4 linked regions of the Arabidopsis thaliana genome follow. The protein of the gene in region 3 purifies or fractionates together with the protein of the main gene of each other region. This does not show direct contact. Each region holds a gene or a part of one and is shown on either strand. Other genes may lie near its edges.

Region 1 (5,614 bases), on a different chromosome or scaffold from region 3:
CAATAAAAAGAAGATTATTTAGAGCAAAGAAGACAAAAATTTGTCTCTCTGTCTCACATTTGTTTTGATGTAGTCGGTAAAGAAATTGTATTGTAGTCCATTCATATGTTGTTACCAATTGTGTGTGCTGTGAGTAATTTATATGATTTATTATTATTTTTGTCACTTTTACAAGTTTTAATTTGATATTTTTGAAAAGAACGTCACTTGAACCAAAATAAAAGTTCTACTAATTAAAAACATTTTTATAGAACAAGAAAAAAACAGTTTTTGATAATTTGCATAAGCTAAAAACATTTGTAATCTAGACATTACCCGAAAAATATTTATTCAAAATTTTAAAATACAAAGTTAGTGCCCCATATCTTTGTAAAGTACTCCAATTTTGTGATTTGCAGTTTAATTACTACTTCAATCCGGTAATTTTAATCTGATTTAGTTTCATACCGGCATTTGGGATAAACCGGGTTCCCGGTTAAACAAATTCCAAAACATTATCCAAAACAAACAGAGAATTTTATCAACGGAATTTTCCCAAAAGAAAAACAGAGAATGATGAAGCTGCAAGGGGGACTTCTCCAGTGGAGTCGTAGCAGCTTAATCCCGTCGATTTATACGCCAATCAACAAAACCCAATTCTCTATCGCCGCCTGTGTCATCGAGCGGAACCACCAGCTTACGGCGAAGGAGAGACGGCAGCTCCGGAACGAGCGGCGGGAGAGTAAATTGGGGTATAGCTGGCGAGAAGAAGTTGAAGAAAAGTTGATTAAGAAACCAAAAAAACGGTATGCAACGTGGACGGAGGAGCTGAATTTGGATACTTTGGCTGAGTCGGGTCCGCAATGGTGGGCGGTTAGGGTTTCGAGACTTCGTGGTCATGAGACTGCTCAAATCTTAGCTCGAGCTCTGGCTCGTCAATTCCCTGAAATGGAATTCACGGTAATTGGAATTTTACTGGATATTTGGGTTGTGTTGGGTGATTTTAAAGTTTGGATTTTGACAATGAGATTGGATCAAACTGGTATCTTGATAGAATTGCTGACAAACTCTAAACAGTTGTTGATGGAAAGTGAAAAGATTTGATTTTGGGTTATTGTGTGATCTTTAGAATTTGTGGGGAATTCATACATTGGTATTGAAACAAGTGGCTTTTGAATTTGGTTGTCCAGGTTTATGCACCATCTGTTCAAGTGAAGAGAAAGCTAAAGAACGGTTCTATATCTGTTAAACCGAAACCAGTGTTCCCTGGTTGCATTTTCATCAGATGTATATTGAACAAAGAGATACATGACTCCATAAGAGACGTTGATGGAGTCGGAGGTTTCATAGGTTCAAAAGTTGGAAATACGTGAGTAGTATTCTCACTCTCACTCTCACCCTATGTGTGTTAAGGTCTGTGAATTAATTTGTATCTGCATTTTTTTTTTGTAGCAAGAGACAGATTAATAAACCAAGACCAGTAGATGACAGTGACTTGGAAGCTATTTTCAAACAAGCAAAAGAAGCGCAAGAGAAAGCAGATAGTGAGTTCGAAGAGGCAGATAGAGCTGAAGAAGAAGCGAGTATACTAGCGTCACAGGAACTTCTCGCATTATCTAATTCAGATGTTATTGAGACTGTAGCAGAATCTAAACCGAAACGAGCCCCGAGAAAAGCTACACTTGCTACTGAAACAAAGGCGAAGAAGAAGAAACTTGCAGCGGGTTCTACAGTTAGAGTTTTATCAGGGACATTTGCTGAATTTGTTGGGAACCTAAAGAAACTAAACCGCAAAACTGCAAAGGTACACTAACTAACTACTTCTAGCTCCTTTGTGTTATTGATAACAAAGCTGGTCAATTTGCACAAATGTGTTTGTTTAGATGTCTCTCTGATTCTTTCGTATGGTTGGTTGCAGGCAACGGTGGGATTTACTTTGTTTGGGAAGGAGACACTAGTGGAAATTGACATCAATGAACTTGTTCCTGAGATTCAATCTTAAATAGTTTGTTCACTAGAATGTGAATTTTTTGGTTTGAAATATAAATCCATGATCACTTCACATGTTTTGGAAGTTTTGGTGTGTTTGTTCTGTTAAATTCGCCAAACGATTGCAACGACGACGTTCTATCTTCATTTGAAAGATGAGAGCCTTTACTGGTTAAATGGGCCTAATTTGTGAAAAGGCCCAACAAACAAGAGCCGTCAGATCAGAATGAAGCAAACAGGCACGAACCGTTAGATTAAGATTCACAAAGAAAACCCTAGAGGTTCCCTTATCCTCAGGCCAAATCGTGAACTATAAAACGGCTGATACCAAAACCCTAATTTCTTTACGTCAAACTCTCTCTATACACAGAGTTAAATTGAGTTTGTGTCTCGTAACTTATCCTGTGAGCGAAAATGGTGAAAGCAACTAAGGCAGAGAAGAAGATCGCCTACGATACCAAGCTATGTCAGCTTATCGATGAGTACACCCAGATCTTGGTCGTTGCGGCCGATAACGTCGGATCAACTCAGCTTCAGAACATCAGAAAGGGTCTTCGTGGAGACTCCGTCGTGCTTATGGGGAAGAACACTATGATGAAGCGTTCCGTTAGGATTCACTCTGAGAACACCGGAAACACTGCAATCCTGAATCTGCTTCCTCTCCTTCAGGTAAACTTTCTTAGCTTGTCCAAAATGATTGAGATTTTATCGATGTGTTTGTGTTTAGAAAATAATTTGCGATGGTTCTGTGTTCGTTTTTTGTAGGGAAACGTTGGTTTGATCTTTACCAAAGGTGACCTCAAGGAAGTGAGCGAGGAGGTTGCTAAGTACAAGGTTTGTTAATTGCTCTTGTTTCATATCTTATTTACAAATGTGTGATTATAGCTTCGGATAGTAAGTATCTGATGCATAGAGGAATCATTTCATGCTTACATTAGTTTATACATGTTCTGAATTTACTTGTGTTGCTTTCGATGGTATCTGATGTATAGTGTAATCATTTCTTGCTTACGTTTCTGTTTATATTGCCTGTGTTCCTATGAGTATTACAGTCATCCCAAGTAGAGCTCATCAATTGTGTAAAAAGTTGATGCTTTCTCAATGCGATTGACTTATGTATAATGTTGTTGCTTTCTCAACGTGATTGGATTGTGTAATATGTTGATGCTTTTGCAATATGATTGGGTTAAAATGTTGATACTTTTTCAATGTGATTCGATTGTAATGGAACTTTTCTTATTATGAATCAGGTTGGTGCCCCTGCTCGTGTGGGTTTGGTGGCTCCAATTGATGTGGTTGTCCAACCTGGCAACACTGGTCTCGACCCATCCCAAACATCTTTCTTCCAGGTTTGTTTTAAACTTACATTTAATGTTTGATTTGATTCGTTTGACGACAATTTGAAGTTAATTGAACATGTATGTGTTTTGGATTGTTTTAGGTGCTTAACATCCCAACCAAGATTAACAAGGGTACCGTCGAAATCATCACCCCAGTTGAGCTTATCAAGCAAGGTGACAAGGTCGGGTCTTCTGAGGCTGCGCTTCTAGCCAAGCTTGGCATCAGGCCGTTCTCATATGGTCTTGTTGTCCAGTCTGTCTATGACAATGGCTCAGTCTTCAGCCCAGAGGTTCTTGATCTTACTGAAGACCAACTTGTGGAGAAGTTTGCTTCTGGTATCTCCATGGTCACTTCCTTGGCTCTTGCTGTGTCGTACCCTACCCTTGCTGCTGCACCGCATATGTTCATCAATGCGTACAAGAATGCCTTGGCTATTGCTGTTGCCACTGAGTACACCTTCCCTCAAGCAGAGAAGGTCAAGGAATACTTGAAGGTTAGTATGCATTAAAACTGTGCATCTTTTTCATTTTATTTCGGAAGTTTGGAGTACTGATTTTGTTTATGTTAACTCTCTGGAATGCAGGATCCAAGCAAGTTTGCTGTTGCTTCAGTAGCTGCGGTGTCTGCTGATGCAGGTGGTGGTGCCCCAGCTGCTGCTAAGGTAGAGGAGAAGGAAGAGTCCGACGAAGAAGACTATGGAGGTGATTTCGGTTTGTTCGATGAAGAGTAGATTTTGTCGGTTAAGATCTTACCTTTTTGTCGTGGATTATAAGTGTTGCTTTGTTTTTAGTATGTTGGACCTCAATTTTCTTGGTTTTAGCCAATCCAGTTTTATGTTACTACTGTCTTTTATTTTTTGGAAAGATTTCGTTTTCTTATGGTTGCTTTAATATTTTTCAATAATGTCTGGACGATGAATTTGCAATTTATCTATCCGTCGAGAAAGTTAAGAGCTTCTTATACATGACTTTGATAAAATTTGTATGAAGCAGAATCTTCTTAGATCTACAAGTTGAGTCATTTTATTTCTTAGAAAGTAGGCACAAATGTCATATTCTAAAAGTAAATGAGGCTAAACATGATAGAATGTAATAAAACTGAGATACAAATCAGAAACGGCATTAACCTTAGTCAGCAACCACTACGAGGGAGAAAGTGAGTGGGACTGAGAACGAATCAATCTCTCTGCATGTGTTGATGATATTTAACTTCTTCCTCTGCTTTCTTCGCATAGTTCCACACAAAACAACAAACTTAAATACTTCTTGAAAAAATGGAAGTCATTCTCAAATCCTAGAAATTCCATTTTTAGAAGGAGAAGAGTGAGTGAGTGAGTAAGAGAGAGAGAAGAGCTCGTCTCTGTAGTCATTAAATCAGAGAGAACCAATTTTAGTCTCAGTATAGCTATGGCGATATTCAAAACCCTATCTTTTCTGGTCCTTTTATGCTTTGAGATACATGGAACCGCAGGTGTGGATTTCACGTTTTCATTTGATGAATTCGTAAAATCTCAGAGTTTTGACAAGAGTGTTGCTCTGTTTGGAGATTCGAAGCTGGTCAATGACAGTTCTTCGATTCAGCTGACTGACTCAGTGAATCGGACCGAGGGACGAGTCTTTTACAAGAAACCCATCAATCTATTCCAAGGTAAAGAGAGGAACTCCGTTATTTTCTCGACTTACTTCTCGTTTTCGATGCCCAATGAGATTGGTGATGTCTTGGCTTTTGTAATGGTTCCAAGTACTTTGGATCTTAGTCTGTTTGGTAAGAAAGATTACAGTTCCTCTGCTTTAGGGTTTCTATTAGAGTATGCAAAGAACGAGACAGTTGTTGCTTTTGAGTTTGATATCTCCAAGAGAGGAAACCGTGCAAGAGTCTTAATTGGTAGACCTGAGTCTGCCAAAATTAGAAACCTTTCGTTTGTGGGTGACTTGATGATGGATGATGGAGGGATTTTGAGCTGTATGATTGATTATGAGGCAAGTTCTAAGAGAATGAGGGTTCGTTTCAGAAAACGTGGTTCGATAAAGATGTTTGATCCGTTCTTCTCTTTCTCGGTAGACTTGGAGAAGCTTTGGAAAGGTGGTGAAGTCATGGTGGGTTTAAGCTCTGCTAATGGGAACTCTTCCAAGCCACATTTTCTCCATTCATGGAGCTTTGAAATATGGCATCTTGATCCGATATGGGTGCAACCAGCGCCATTAGGACCAAATGAAGGTTTGAAGCCGGACGTTTCCACGGAAATGGAAGAGGGCCGAGAAAATAGTGAGTGTATATGGAGAATGCTTGGTGCTCTGGTCTTGGC
Region 2 (4,016 bases), on a different chromosome or scaffold from region 3:
TAGGACAATTTGTTATTGTGGCTCAACGTAACCGGGACCGCACGTTTGATAAGTTATTGTTTTTTTTTTTGTTAAATGCAGTCTTGCGACCATGTTGGCCTGTTGCGTCCTCGACGCATGCATTTTCTGAGTTCGGAGGAAGCAGTCGATTGTTTATTAAATTTGACACTTCATGCAAATATTTTTCATTGTATTTTGCAAGTAGTTTTTGGGATTCGATTAGCTTATAACATTTGGACCTCCTATTTGTTGATTTAATTATTTATTACTACTTTTTTTATTTTATTACAACTTAGTTTGTAATAGTAAAATTTATTCTACTTTGTGCCCAAAACTGTCAATTGTTGTTCATTTAAATTTCTGGAATTAGATTTAGATACGCTAAATTAAATCACATTTTGCGTTTATATTCCCACCTAATTTGAAACCAGCAATTATTCTTCTTCATAAGAAAACTTTCATGTGCTCTCTCGAAAATAAAGTTTTACTCTAATAACAACACGCACTTTGGACGAGATAAAGCGATTCAAGTAAAATTATTATGGTTCAAACTATTATCTAAGATCCGTTTGTGTAAAACATAACTTCTAATAACATATATATTCTGATCTACTTTTGTTAGTTTTTATTAGTTAATATAAGCGTTAATTATTGTTCTCTCTTTTGCTTAACATGTAAATATTCCCATGGAGAAAGAAGTACACTTTTTGCTTTGAGAAAGAATAAAAAAACTCTTTATTATTACTAAATCAAGAAAAATATAAAACCATGCTGCATTTATCATCATTTTACATATTCTATATATAAGGTTCTCTAATTCGTATACTTTTGTAAATAGAGAACAACGAATTAAAAGACCAAATCGATAGCATCTTACCTTTTTGTTGATATTTATTAAGAGAAAAAATCAACACATTGTTATTCTTCAAGAGAATAAATTTCTGGAGACTTAGCAGTTAATGCAATCTGACCTCACGCGTTTTTTTTTTTTGACCTCACGCGGTTTTACTAAACCGACCTTCGTTTACTTCCCTTACCTCTCTATATATATATCTCTATCTTCATTTGCATATTTCAATTCATTTCATAATCATACACCTCTCTACATTTGTTACTACTTTCTTCTAACTTGTTTTCAAAGAGAAATCACAATCTATCTGTTCCAAGATGAGTCAATACAGCCAAAACCAATCTTCAGGTTTGTATTCTTTTCTTCGTACTAATTTAGCATCAGACCATATGTTTAGTCAATATTCTCATGGTTATAATCATATTTGCAGTTTCATAGTAGTAAGTACTTTTTTAAATGGTAATAAGACTAATGTGAAATATGAATAACTTATAGGAGCTTATCCTACGCCGCCAGTGTCTACCGGCCCTTACGTGGCACCGCCACCGCTAGGTTACCCAACGAACGACACAAGTCATGCCACGGTGGCAACGGTGGAGACAAAGTCCAAGGGTGATGGATTCTTAAAAGGCTGGTTAGTCTTCTTTTTCTAGTATAAACCAGGCATGCACGTTTGGTTAACTATCAAACCGGTTCGGTTATCGTGTGTTGCATTGATTAATTTGTTTTCTTTCATTTTTTGAATGCAGTCTTGCGGCCATGTGTTGTTGTTGTGTCCTCGACGCATGCTTCTGAAGACTTAGATGGTTTATTTTGATTATCTTTGTATTTTGCTTTACCAAAATGATTCGACTAGGTTTATGACATTTGGTACTTCTATTTGTTAATTCATTTCTATATCACTCTTTCTTTTGCATTGTGTAATTTTATAAATTCTTAATATATCGTTTGTTTTCTCTTAGACATCTTCTAAACCACGCTAGATTCACATTTTTGACTTTATTACCGGTTAGTCAACGTGGACTTAAAATCAATTTAATAACACTATATAAGCCAAAGTTATAAACAATTAAAACTCTTGGGGTTAGAATGCAAATAATGAACAAATCGATGCGTATAAATATCTCCCGATAAAGCCCTAGAATCCAAGGAAGCGCCGAGAGAAAGACAGAGAAGAGAGTGACAATGGTGAAATGTATGAAGCCAGGAAAAGCCGTGATCCTTTTACAAGGACGATACACCGGTAAAAAGGCGGTGATCGTGAAATCCTTCGATGACGGTACCGTTGAGAAGAAGTACGGTCACTGTCTCGTCGCCGGATTGAAGAAGTACCCAAGCAAAGTCATTCGCAAGGATTCGGCAAAGAAGACGGCTAAGAAATCGCGCGTGAAATGCTTCTTCAAGGTCATCAATTACCAGCACGTGATGCCTACGCGCTACACTCTTGATTTGGATCTGAAGAACGTTGTCTCCGCCGACGCGATCTCGTCCAAGGATAAGAAAGTGACGGCTCTTAAGGAAGCGAAGGCGAAGTTTGAAGAGAGGTTTAAGACTGGCAAGAACAGATGGTTCTTCACCAAGCTTAGGTTTTGAATTCTACAGTTTTTAATTTTAGTTTTAAAGTTTCAATTTTTATCTACCATGAATTGTTTTTGCTTCTGGTTTAGCTCAAGGTTATGTTTTGTTCTAAATTTCAGTAATATATATTCAATTTTGATGGTTAAAGTTTTAATCTTTCTAGTAACTCTTCATTGTGAGACATTTCTTTCAATCTTGTGGTTAATGAAACACAAATTTATTAAGAAATGAAGAATCAATGTCAGATGATACAACAAGGATTAAAAAAATTCAAGGTGTTTTGGATCTTTTTGCGCATAACCATTGCCTTGATGTTTGGAGATCATCTTCTACGCTCATTGGTACATGCCAGGTTCCATCTTCAGACTCCTGCATCATTCATCAATCAATCATCATCATTAATGCAAAATGCATACGAAAACATTGAGATGGACATAGAAATGTGAGTGTTGACCTGTATAACAATGGAGTATGGAGGTGGCATATTAAGTTTGAGTCCATCTTCTCTAGTGACAGAGATCCGAACCTGCAAACATTGAATCCAGTATCAATCAAAAGCTTATGTATATACATTACATAGACTCTTATATTATATGTTACCTGATGCTTCTCTTTCCACCTTGGGAAGAAACTATTTCCAAGTAACTGGAAGAGATGGTCTCTCATCTCATCGTTTGTTACTAACAAACATTTGCAACTTACCGCAGCGTAAAGCCAATACCTAGAACAATTTGATTTCACATAAGAAATGGTTGTCTTTTTTGGATTATTCATGGTCAATGTAATTCATAGACCCAGAAAAAAAGGCAAATGCAAATACCAATCATCGTTTGAGCCAGGAGGGGTAGCATAGAGAGCACCAGCGTTTTTCCATTTCTCTAGCAAGGCTCTGTTTTTAGGGTATGTAGCTGGACCTCCATTTACACGACTCTTGTGCAGGATCACAAGTGGTAACCTTTTCGACGGGCTTATTTGTTGGCATCTTTGGACAGTGTTGTTAAGCTAGTGGGGAGAGATAAAGAGTCGCATTAGATAAAGTAGTCAAACAATGGTTCTTGAGATTGGCATTAGAATGAGAAAGAGTCAAAACCACCTGGAAGAAGCTGAAACTGCGCTGGTTGACTAAGCCCATGTTGGCTCCATCAATGACTGCATCAAACGGTCCATGTCTTTCCAGCCATTCCTGCAAGCAAAAAACAACAACACATTTCTCAGGTTTTCTTTTAGATAGTTTTAATACAATCTTTTAGACAATAATTGTTACCTGAAACTGATTAAAATTAGCCTTGACTTCTCTTTCACATGCCAATCGGGTCAACGATGCAGCAAAGGTTTCTGTCTCAACCGGATTGATATCAATACAAACAAGCTTCTCTTTGCAACATTTACATACACCATTCTCATCCATCTCTGTTCTTTTCACATTCCATTTGCCAGTCCCCAGCCATCCTTGTCCATGCCACCCACCACCACCACTCACAACCGCATCCCTTATTTTCTTCACATCCCATTTCTTCACTCCAGTTTTTGTAGCTACTTCAGATTTAAACCACTCCTCAATCATATCAAAAGTCGATTTAGAAACCTG
Region 3 (5,170 bases):
TGGAATATTCGTTCAGACTTGTGTGCTTACCGTCATGACTCTGAGAACAGATTGGGATCAACAGGTTATAAATCGATTACTATGTTTTCTAATTTGTTCCTAGCAAGCTATGTTTTTGGTGCTTATTCTTATACCGTTTGTTGCCAAATATATTAGGTGTCAACGTCGTTGAGACGTTTAAATCGGTGGGTTGTACCAGAATCTAGAGACGTAAACCAAGTATCATCAGAGGAATAAATTGGATTCTAGATTGTCTTTAGCACCGTCACATTTTATTCTTAAAAGCTAAAATGTAACTTTTAGGCTATGTTCCAAGATTGTGAAGACAAGAATATGACAAATTTGGGTCGATTTGATGTCCTCGCAACTAACTTGTAATAAGATTCTAATGTTTAACCAAAAAACGAAAACGAGATCCTAATTTTTGGATTAACACTAGATAGTGTTACATTTAGCTATGATTCATCAAACACAAAATTATTTTGGGGTTTATAACCAAAAAAATAAAAATAAAAATAAAAAATTTACTATTTATGTGAAAAGAATAACAAAAATTAAAATATTTGGGTGACCTTCTCAAATAGTATAGAAAATCACACCAATTTTATTTTGTACTATTTGAGATATTCATGGTAAGAAACCATAGAGCGATGCTCTAAAGTCTAAATAGTGACAGTTTGGTTTTAAAACATTTAAAACAAATTTGTTGACTAATAGAACTGAATTTTTTTTTGTCTCATTTAACAACTGCAATTGTAACATATATATATTTTTAATAGAAATAAATTAACAAACTTTTTTTGATGATTTATGAAAACTATTTAATGATATAAATGTTTGGATACTAAACTTGAATTATTTCTCCGTCGGCTTTGTTTGAAAATATATAGAAAAAACAATTAACGGGCCATGTGCTTGTTGCAAATAATCTATTTATTTTTCATTTTAGGAATTTTGTTTCTCGGCACGAGTTGGGCTGATTTTGATAAGCCCACATGACATTGTTTTAGGGTTTCTGTTTTTCTTCTTTATACTTTTTAAAACGCGGCCAGTGAATAATTTTCTAAGGTTTATGCTTTAATCAATGAGATCAGTTAGAGAGAGAGATAGAGAGTTTTGTACAGAAAAACTCCATAGTGGTTCATATTCACAACTTTATCCTTCAAGTCCAAAAAATACAAAATAATCTTATGAAGTCCAAAATAATACGCAATATAATCTTTTTTTCACTATTGTCAAATTTAAATTTTTTGATAAATAATATACCAAATCAAAGATCTCTAGATAAGGAGTTCAACTTTATCTTCAGAATTCTCAAAAACTAATGTATGAGATCGTGAAAACATTCTAATATATGTAAAATTAAAAAATGGACTATATTGCGTATTATTTTGTATTTTTAGGACGTATAGGATAAAATTATAAAAATAGACGATTTTAAGGTTTTTTTTCATAAAACCTTTTTTTTAATACAAGTTAAATAATTTTTTTGTAAATAATTTTTTGTTGGAATGTCAAATTTATTCAACAAAAGAAAATGATTACAAAGAGTTTTGAAAGCTAAAAAATAGAGAAAATAAACGTGAAAAGTAGAAACAAAAATAATGGAATTGGCGCCACTTACATCATTACAGAAAGTTCAAAAGGCCTAATTCTGACACAATATTATTAACGGGCCATGGGCTTAATGACAATAATAAACTTTTCTCACTTTTGAGTTTTAATAAGCCCACATTTGCTTTAGGGTTTCTGCGTCTCTACCTTTAAATTGCTTCCGACGATTCATAAACTAGGGTTTCTGCCTTTAGCCGTCGTGAGAGAGAGAGCAAATCGAAGAGAGAGCAAAGAGAAAATAATATGTTGTTTGCGTTTGGTACGGTGACTCGATCTGTGGCTAATTCAGTGGTGGTTTGCTACGGCTTTCTTTCGACAATGGTGTTTTCTTTCGACCTAAACTTGATAGACCGAACCAAACTGAACCAATTTTTATATATATTTACTCAATTAAATCCTAAACTCCTCTATTTGATCTGAACCCGATCAACCCGAATACATAAATATCTAATCTTATCCATCTGAAAGGATACTAAACTCTCTAATTCGAATTACCCGAATCCAGAAAAAGCCGAATAGCATGCATTCTATTGGTACTTGATTATATTAATTGGCATATATATGACCTGTTATTGCCAATAATATATTTTGGGTGTTTCCTGGGCTTCAGTTTTATTGGGCTAGGAATGGGTGTACTTTTAAACCCACTTCTGATTAGTCTCTTAGTAAAACCCACTTTTAAACCCACTTCTGACCCACTTCTGACGCCGTCATTTTTCTTGAGAAGGAGAGAGAGCACCACTTCCGTCATTCCAGCCCAATATTTTTAACGGGCCATGGGCTTATTGTAAATAATGTATTTTTCTCATTTTTGGTTTTCTTTATGGGCACGATTTTAGTGGGCTGAATTTTGATAAAGGCCCACATATGAAAGATATTTAGGGTTTTTTCTCTTGATACCTTTTAAAACGCCGTCGAGAAATCTCCCTCTAGGGTTTCTTTGATCAAACCAGAGAGCCGTCAGGGAGAGCAAAACAAAGATCGGAGAAGATGAAGACGATTCTTTCTTCCGAAACGATGGACATCCCCGACAGTGTTACCATCAAGGTTCACGCTAAAGTGATCGAAGTCGAAGGACCTCGCGGGAAGCTTGTTCGCGATTTCAAGCATCTCAACCTCGATTTCCAGCTGATCAAGGATCCAGAGACTGGAAAGAAGAAGCTTAAGATCGATTCGTGGTTTGGAACACGCAAAACCAGCGCCTCCATCAGAACCGCTCTTAGCCACGTCGATAACTTGATCTCCGGTGTTACCAGAGGTTTCCGTTACAAGATGAGGTTCGTGTACGCCCATTTTCCCATCAACGCCTCCATCGGCGGTGACGGAAAGTCTATCGAGATCCGTAACTTCCTTGGCGAGAAGAAGGTTTGTTTTATCTTCTTCATCTCTGATTTGATTCTCATAGATTCGTGTAGATCTCGGAATGAAATAGACTGACACTAGATTCAACTTTATGATTGGACGATGATGATTGATTTCTGAGTTTGCGAGCACTGAACTTACATAGAAATGTGTTTATTGGAATAATAGGTGAGGAAGGTAGAGATGTTGGATGGTGTAACCATTGTTCGATCTGAGAAGGTGAAGGATGAGATTGTTCTTGACGGTAACGATATCGAGCTTGTTTCAAGGTCGTGCGCTCTGATCAACCAGGTACTCCATTCTTTAACTAGTAGATATCACAATTTTGTTTTAATGATCTGAAGATATCACAATTCTCTCATAGTCTACTATATCCACAACAACTTGAAATTAATCTTGGGTCGAAAAGATAGAGCCGTTGTGTAGTATAGGAGACGTAGATTTCTTTTGTTTTGGTTGATGTTTGAGTTTGGGATCACATTTTGCATAGTGAAATCGAACTGATTCATCTATAACTGATTTAATGCGCTCTGGTCAACCAATATTTTATTGGTTAAAATGTGTTTCTCATAGTCTTGTACAATATCAACTAGGAATATTCTGAGCTAACTTGGCCGAGTTTGCATATTGTTGTATGAAGGAAAGCATAAGCGATTGTGTTTAAAAATGATTCTTTGTTGACAATTTAACTTTGTTGTCATATATTTCATAGTTGAACTGACTTGATTCTTTATGTTTTACTGTCTTATGTAACTGCTATGGTTTGCATTATTGTGCAGAAATGTCACGTGAAGAAGAAGGATATCAGGAAGTTCCTTGACGGTATCTATGTTAGCGAGAAAAGCAAGATCGTAGAGGAAGAATGAATACTCATATTCCCCTCTTAGCTCATATTTCTTGTGTTTGGAATGTTGTTAGTTTTGTTTTATGGACCAAATCCACCGGTGATGTAAACCTTGCCTTTTTTTTGTTCGAGAATTTATTAACTTATGCAACAAGTTTTGGAGACAATTAGAGACCCATTCACTCTCACACTTTTGCCAAATTACATCTTCTCGGATGAATTTTGAATTCTGAAGAATTTGGTTGTGTTTTTGAATTCCAGAACATTATAATCCATTGTCCTGAATGAAAACGCCCACAAATTTAGAGGGTGTTATCGGTTCCTAATTTACAAGAAATTTTGATGACTTTAGTTAAATCTTTGAAAGTAAAGAAATGAAAGATTATAAACGATTGTTAGAGAGTTTTTTGATAATCTTGTTGATTAGTTTTTTATAATTTTGTAAAGTTTTCCAAACAATCTCTCTATTTTAATAATATTTTCCATGACTTTCCATGACTTCATTTTGTAAAGAAAAGTGTAGGAAATCATGAACCAATAACACAATAATTTAAATCATTAACAATCATTAAAAATCAAAGATTCTTTTGTTTTAATTGAATAACACAAAACTTTTAATGATTTAATAAAAGTTCGTATCTAATAACCCAAAATTTATGAAGATTTTAGATTACTTTTTACAAATCTTAAACGAATAACACAAAACTTTAACATACTTTAAAAAAGTCTTGATTGAATAACAACAGATTTTACATGACAATTTAAATCATTAAAACTCTTTTGAAATCATAAACGAATAACACCCTATTAATATTTAGTCAAATTAATACTCATACTTTTTCTAACTTAAATTTAATACTCAAATACTTTTTCAAATACTCAAATTTAATATTTAACAAAACTTTTTCATTTGTTACTCAAATAAACTTTTATAATTCTAGCTGGGAAAATTTCCAAAAATAAACTTCAACTATTTAATATTTGCCAGAATTCTTTTTTTTTCTTTTCTCGTTGCCTAAAATAATCTAATCTAGTTTACGGCCCATAAAACAAAGGGTTATTGAGTTTATAGTCATAAACTAATTGCATTCTCAGATTTTCCTCAATGGATTATAAAATCAGCCATAAACCCTATAAAATCAGTCAATTTTTTTTTTCATCCTAAAACAAACACAAACTATTCTTTATTTTCTAATTTCTCTTCGTCTTCGTTATGGCCGTTAACGACATCGTTGACGTCGTTACTATTTTTGAGAAAATTTCTAACCCAAATTATGAAATTTTGCTTGAAAAAAATACCTGAATTTCTATTTCCTTGCCATAAAATAACACATATCAACATTTTTTTTT
Region 4 (5,077 bases), on a different chromosome or scaffold from region 3:
GGTTGCGATTGATGAGAGCGACTCGAGCTTCTACGCTCTCCAATGGGTCATTGACCATTTCTCTAATCTTTTATTGACCACAGCGGCAGCTGAGGCGGAAAGTGGAATGCTCACGGTGATTCATGTGCAGTCCCCTTTCAATCACTTTGCTGCCTTTCCGGCTGGACCGGGCGGCGCCACAGGTCTCGTCCATTAACCTCTCTTTTTTCTTTTCTTTTTTAAGTATCGAATTTTAATTGAAATAACATCTTAATATAATCATAGTAGATATTTTCTTCCTTCATACACCCTACTCCCTAGTAGCATCTTTTATATCTAATTTATAGTATTAGTCGGAAAGAATAAGTAGATTTAAAGAATAAAAAAAGTTTTGTTTACTTTATAGGTATAGAAATGTTATTGTGTATGACTTGGTTTTGTGAACGGTTGTAGCAGCAGTGTACGCATCTTCATCAATGATAGAGTCAGTGAAAAAGGCACAACAAGAGACCTCTGCTGCCCTTCTCTCTCGCGCTCTCCAAATGTGCCGAGCCAAGCAGGTCCGATTCTATAACACATGTCCTAAAGACATTACACTAATTATTGGACATGAAACGCGATTAAAACATATTGTGTGATGGATGTGCAGATACGTACTGAAACTCTAGTGCTAGAAGGCGAGGCGAAGGAGATGATTTGTGAGGCGGTGGAGAAAATGCACGTTGATCTTCTCGTTGTGGGTAGTCGTGGCCTTGGCAAGATCAAAAGGTATTGTATCATTAATAACTTCTTCTTATATATAAATTTGAGCGCTTATTATTTTGTTTGCTTTGTGCGTTTCGGAAGAGCGTTTCTTGGGAGCGTTAGCGATTACTGCGCTCATCACGCCAACTGCCCCATCCTTATTGTCAAGCCACCTAAGGAGATGACTAAGTAATATGGAGCTGTTTACATGTTTGGGTTATTAGTACGAATTTTATAATGAGTGTGCCATAATTTACCTAAAAAAGAAAAAAAAGAAAAAAAGAGTGTTGTATGTACGTGTGTTTGACTTGGATAATTAGTGACATTTTAAGCAAATGTGTATTTGGAAAAGTGATGTCAATGAAATATGAATATGGGTCGAATAAAGAAGCGAAGATCTGTAGACTGTTGCTTCTCTGCATCTGTTGTTGTATTCCCGATCATATTGTTGTATGTTTATAATTTATTAAAAGCAAATTGTCTTCCTAATTTTGAATCTTTGTTAATCGAATCCCAACTTTCGAACGAATAAAGGAACTGATTAATTGCGATTGATAACATGGAACACATAAAGAAGTCGTGTCTTAAACTATAAACAAGAGATAAGAAAGACATACTGTATATGACATCAGAAATAAAAGCTTCGTCAATCATTTACCATATTGAGAACAATGCAAATGGTCTAAGACAATTTCAGAAAACGAGCTTGATTACCAGATAATAGAAACTTAGAACTAATAGCGAACTCTTTAAATTTCTAGCTTCAGGTGGCCTAGATAAGTTCAAAAATTGACAATAAACTGATGCGAAACAGCTTAAAGCATCAAAAATTTATCTATTCAAAGTAGTTCAGACGAAATAAACTTCATAAAACAAAAGAGCAAACATCTGAGATACATATTTCAATCTAAATGAAGATAAAACATTAAACTCATTGATACGAGATTGTAACGCACAGGGCAAAGGGAAAATCCTTAACGATTAGCCTTGGCAACTCTTTCAATCTCATCCTTCTTCTTGATGGCATAGCTGCAAGACATAACAGTTCAATCATTAGCTTCACTTTAAGTTATATGAACAATAGTGAAGTCATTTGGAAGTGTATTTACCTGTTGGAAGAGCCCTTGGCTGCGTTGATCAATTCATCAGCAAGGCACTCAGCTATAGTCTTGATGTTTCTGAAAGCAGCTTCACGAGCACCAGTGGTAATCAAGAAGATAGCCTGGTTAACACGTCTTAGAGGAGAGATATCAACAGCTTGTCTCCTAACAACACCAGCAGATCCAATTCTGGTAGCATCTTCACGTGGACCACTGGCTCAAGCAACAAACAAAACATTAATAAGAATAAAATGTTCCTTGTTCCAATGATACTATTTCAGCATACTTCACAAGGTTAGTACCTGTTGACAATGGCGTCAATGATGACCTGAATTGGGTTCAAGTCAGACAAGAGGTGGATAATCTCCATGGCGTGCTTGACGATCCTGACAGCCATCAATTTCTTACCGTTGTTCCTCCCGTGCATCATGAGAGAGTTGGTGAGCCTCTCAACAATGGGGCACTGAGCCTTCCTGAATCTCTTCACAGAGTATCTTCCAGCGGTGTGGGGAACAAAGGTAGCATGTTTAGCTGCCTGAACTCCAATGTAGTCAACAAGACTGATGTCTGTGACCTACAAGATGAAAAAAAACAATTGTCACTAACAACACTAAGAATCTGACATACTAACGCCAAAACGGAGATCCAATCATTCAGGGAGCAAAATGAAAAACAAATCGCAAAACAGTGAAATTTAGCAGAAGCTAAATGTTCCATAAATTAAGCTGTAGAACTATAACAAATAAATCTAACTACCACCAAAACAAGCGTATAAGGTTATGCCAAGCAATGTAAGATATGTATCCCAATGACAAACGCTAAAGTAAAACAATACATCTAAAGAGAAAGCTACCAAATCTTCTACACTAATCTAAGATGGAAAATGATTCTCACAGATGAAACATAAGCTAGAGGATCAAAGCGAGACCAAAATTAAGAGAGTGAAAGCTTAATAATTTACCGTAACGTCGTCATAGGTCCAGCGGTTGAAGAGCTTGACTTCGTTAGTGAGCGCCTGCTGAATCTCAGCGTCAACATCTGCGGCGGTGGCCATGGCTGTGGTGAGAGAAACAGAGCGTGAGCTCAAATACACAAGTACGAAATCAGAGTTATGAGAGAGGATTTGGAGAAAGAAGATCACCTGAAGATCGTTTGCGTCGCGCGAATGAGAGAGACGGCAGAGAAAACGAGAAGCTTTAAGAGGACGAACAAAAACCCTAATGTCACTCCTTTTATATAGATGAGAAATTTAGGGTTTGGGCTCTAATGGAGCTGTCTACATGGGCTTTCATTTCTTTATCCAGTAAAGAACCGGTTTAACAGGTTCCCTGGTTTATACGTGGTTTTAGCCGGTTAACTTACGGAATATTATTTTTATCTTAAGTTACACAAATTACATCATTAATAGTAAAACAAAATTTTATGGTGCAATTTAAGTTTTTATGATGAGTGAAATTCGAATAATATACAAATATTTTACTGTTTAGGTTTCCCTAAACCTACTTTTAGATATGTAAATTAAACATTTTTTTTTTTTTGGTTAGAACCAAGTCAGTGATCATAGAACTCAAAAAGCTGGTGTTTCAATTGGTACAAGCATTTTTATTGCAAGATATAAAAATTCAGAAGGACATATCCTTGATGTATGTACATGAAGGAACCGATTTTGACTCCAAGCTACAAAGAAGAAGAAGAATGATATACAAAGAAAACTGCATATCCTCACCATGAAATTGAAAGCTAGAGGAAGGGGAATAACAGATACTCTGCGTAGAAGAGATTCCATATAAACCGATAATATCCTGAGATAGCTTCCTGCAATAATCAAATGTTTCTACACTCCGTTAGATATACACTCCATTGATGTTCCGTGATAACGAGTTTATGTTTGTACAAAAGTATTTTACCTTGGTGTAGTTTGCTTTTTCTAGTACCCATGTCTACCAAAGATCAACAACAAAGATATTAGAGATTAATGAATTTGGCAGTGTCAAATGCAGAAACTAAAGCATATAGTTATGAAGTTCTTGTGCATTATCTCAAAAGTATGTAAGAGATATAAGAGTATCTCATAATGCTTTACCTGGAAAATTAAGCCTGAAGCCAAGATCACATGTGCAGGAATCATCAAGCTACCTCTAAAAACCTGTTCATTGTTAAAGGATAAGAGGGTTGGTCTTTTCAAAGCTGCATACTGAGGAAAGTAACAATATCGCAACAAAAATAAATTGGTGGCGATAGTTTATCAAGCTTCTACATGCAGTAATGGTGTTCGTGCTTTAATTAACCGAAATAGTTAAGACGGAAATAGATGAATTCACCTGAGGCATGTAGAAAGCTAGTGATATGGCTGAAACATAATTTACTAGCAGAAGTCCAGAACCGAGGAATGCAATGTTTCTCACTCCAAGTTTTGTTGCCAGGGTTGATATTTGGAACCTATTCAAGATCAATCAAAGGCATGATTAACTAAACATGCTTGAACAAACACATAAAGACAATATATCAAACGGAGCTGGTTAAACATTGTCTTTGACTGTCAAATGGATTGAGCCAAAGAGCGGAAAGAAAATGGTTATGCGTGCAGTTACTTACTTTCGATCTCCTTCAACATCAGGAAGGTCCTTTGTAATAGCAATGACCAGTGCAAACAGTGTCACAAAAGATGTGATGAACGCCACAGGTGCACTGCAAATAGCGAATCAAAAGTTGAGTAATATATCTACTCACGATTATGGGGAGCTCCTACAGTTCCTCTCTCATTGTGAGTACAAAGTTTGACTAATTTGCTGAAATCAAACAACAATTGGTCCCTCACATATATTAAAACTCTATCCATACAAGTATGCAAAGTCCATCCTATTATTACGACCTGTTTATTAAGTTTTGTGCATTTGACTACCAACCTCCACTGAAATGGAAGTCCAAGAGCAGCTCTTGTAGCATGGTACACACCAAAGTTAAGAAGGAAACCTCGTACCTGATAAGAAATGTCAATACAGAATTATGTTATTAAAAGTTCCCAAGCCACGAAAAATATCACATAAGGTGATAGTTGTATATTGATTAAGAAGCATAAAACAGCATTTACCGTGGCAATAATAAGAAATGCTGCAACTGGGAATCTTTTCATTCTGAGGGGTGGAACAGAATAGATGGTTCCCAGAAAAAGGCCAAGAGAGTATAGGCTTGTAATGAATGGACCAAAGTTAAATCCGACAACTAAAAGCCCTGCTATCGCAAAAAATATCACT

What was found.
Region 1: the proteins of AT1G33120 (region 3) and AT3G09200 fractionate together in Arabidopsis thaliana (co-fractionation; one large-scale study listed by BioGRID). This does not show direct contact.
Region 2: the proteins of AT1G33120 (region 3) and AT2G32220 fractionate together in Arabidopsis thaliana (co-fractionation; one large-scale study listed by BioGRID). This does not show direct contact.
Region 4: the proteins of AT1G33120 (region 3) and RPS5A fractionate together in Arabidopsis thaliana (co-fractionation; one large-scale study listed by BioGRID). This does not show direct contact.

What each region holds. Positions count from the first base shown.
Region 1 is NC_003074.8:2,821,789-2,827,402, reverse strand, and holds AT3G09200 (Ribosomal protein L10 family protein), read left to right. Parts: upstream 1-2,161; 5' UTR 2,162-2,382; coding exon 2,383-2,637; intron 2,638-2,733; coding exon 2,734-2,802; intron 2,803-3,218; coding exon 3,219-3,317; intron 3,318-3,409; coding exon 3,410-3,802; intron 3,803-3,892; coding exon 3,893-4,039; 3' UTR 4,040-4,315; downstream 4,316-5,614. Other genes in the region: PTAC13 (plastid transcriptionally active 13), read left to right, coding at 553-939, 1,170-1,348, 1,432-1,783, 1,898-1,981; AT3G09190 (Concanavalin A-like lectin family protein), read left to right, coding at 4,716-5,614. UniProt on the Arabidopsis thaliana protein: Ribosomal protein P0 is the functional equivalent of E.coli protein L10.
Region 2 is NC_003071.7:13,676,910-13,680,925, forward strand, and holds AT2G32220 (Ribosomal L27e protein family), read left to right. Parts: upstream 1-2,000; 5' UTR 2,001-2,035; coding exon 2,036-2,443; 3' UTR 2,444-2,614; downstream 2,615-4,016. Other genes in the region: AT2G32200 (cysteine-rich/transmembrane domain A-like protein), read left to right, coding at 82-130; AT2G32210 (cysteine-rich/transmembrane domain A-like protein), read left to right, coding at 1,168-1,198, 1,346-1,484, 1,600-1,645; PRORP1 (proteinaceous RNase P 1), read right to left, coding at 2,699-2,797, 2,883-2,954, 3,029-3,149, 3,249-3,430, 3,522-3,611, 3,693-4,016.
Region 3 is NC_003070.9:12,008,382-12,013,551, forward strand, and holds AT1G33120 (Ribosomal protein L6 family), read left to right. Parts: upstream 1-2,497; 5' UTR 2,498-2,604; coding exon 2,605-2,979; intron 2,980-3,144; coding exon 3,145-3,267; intron 3,268-3,755; coding exon 3,756-3,842; 3' UTR 3,843-4,166; downstream 4,167-5,170. Other genes in the region: AT1G33110 (MATE efflux family protein), read left to right, coding at 1-64, 157-237.
Region 4 is NC_003074.8:3,776,478-3,781,554, forward strand, and holds RPS5A (ribosomal protein 5A), read right to left. Parts: upstream 3,069-5,077; 5' UTR 2,965-3,068; exon of another isoform or gene 2,880-2,964; 5' UTR 2,878-2,879; coding exon 2,785-2,877; intron 2,398-2,784; coding exon 2,126-2,397; intron 2,037-2,125; coding exon 1,833-2,036; intron 1,753-1,832; coding exon 1,698-1,752; 3' UTR 1,347-1,697; downstream 1-1,346. Other genes in the region: AT3G11930 (Adenine nucleotide alpha hydrolases-like superfamily protein), read left to right, coding at 1-182, 436-539, 629-916; HST (homogentisate prenyltransferase), read right to left, coding at 3,564-3,638, 3,731-3,763, 3,907-3,969, 4,145-4,262, 4,419-4,511, 4,730-4,803, 4,915-5,077.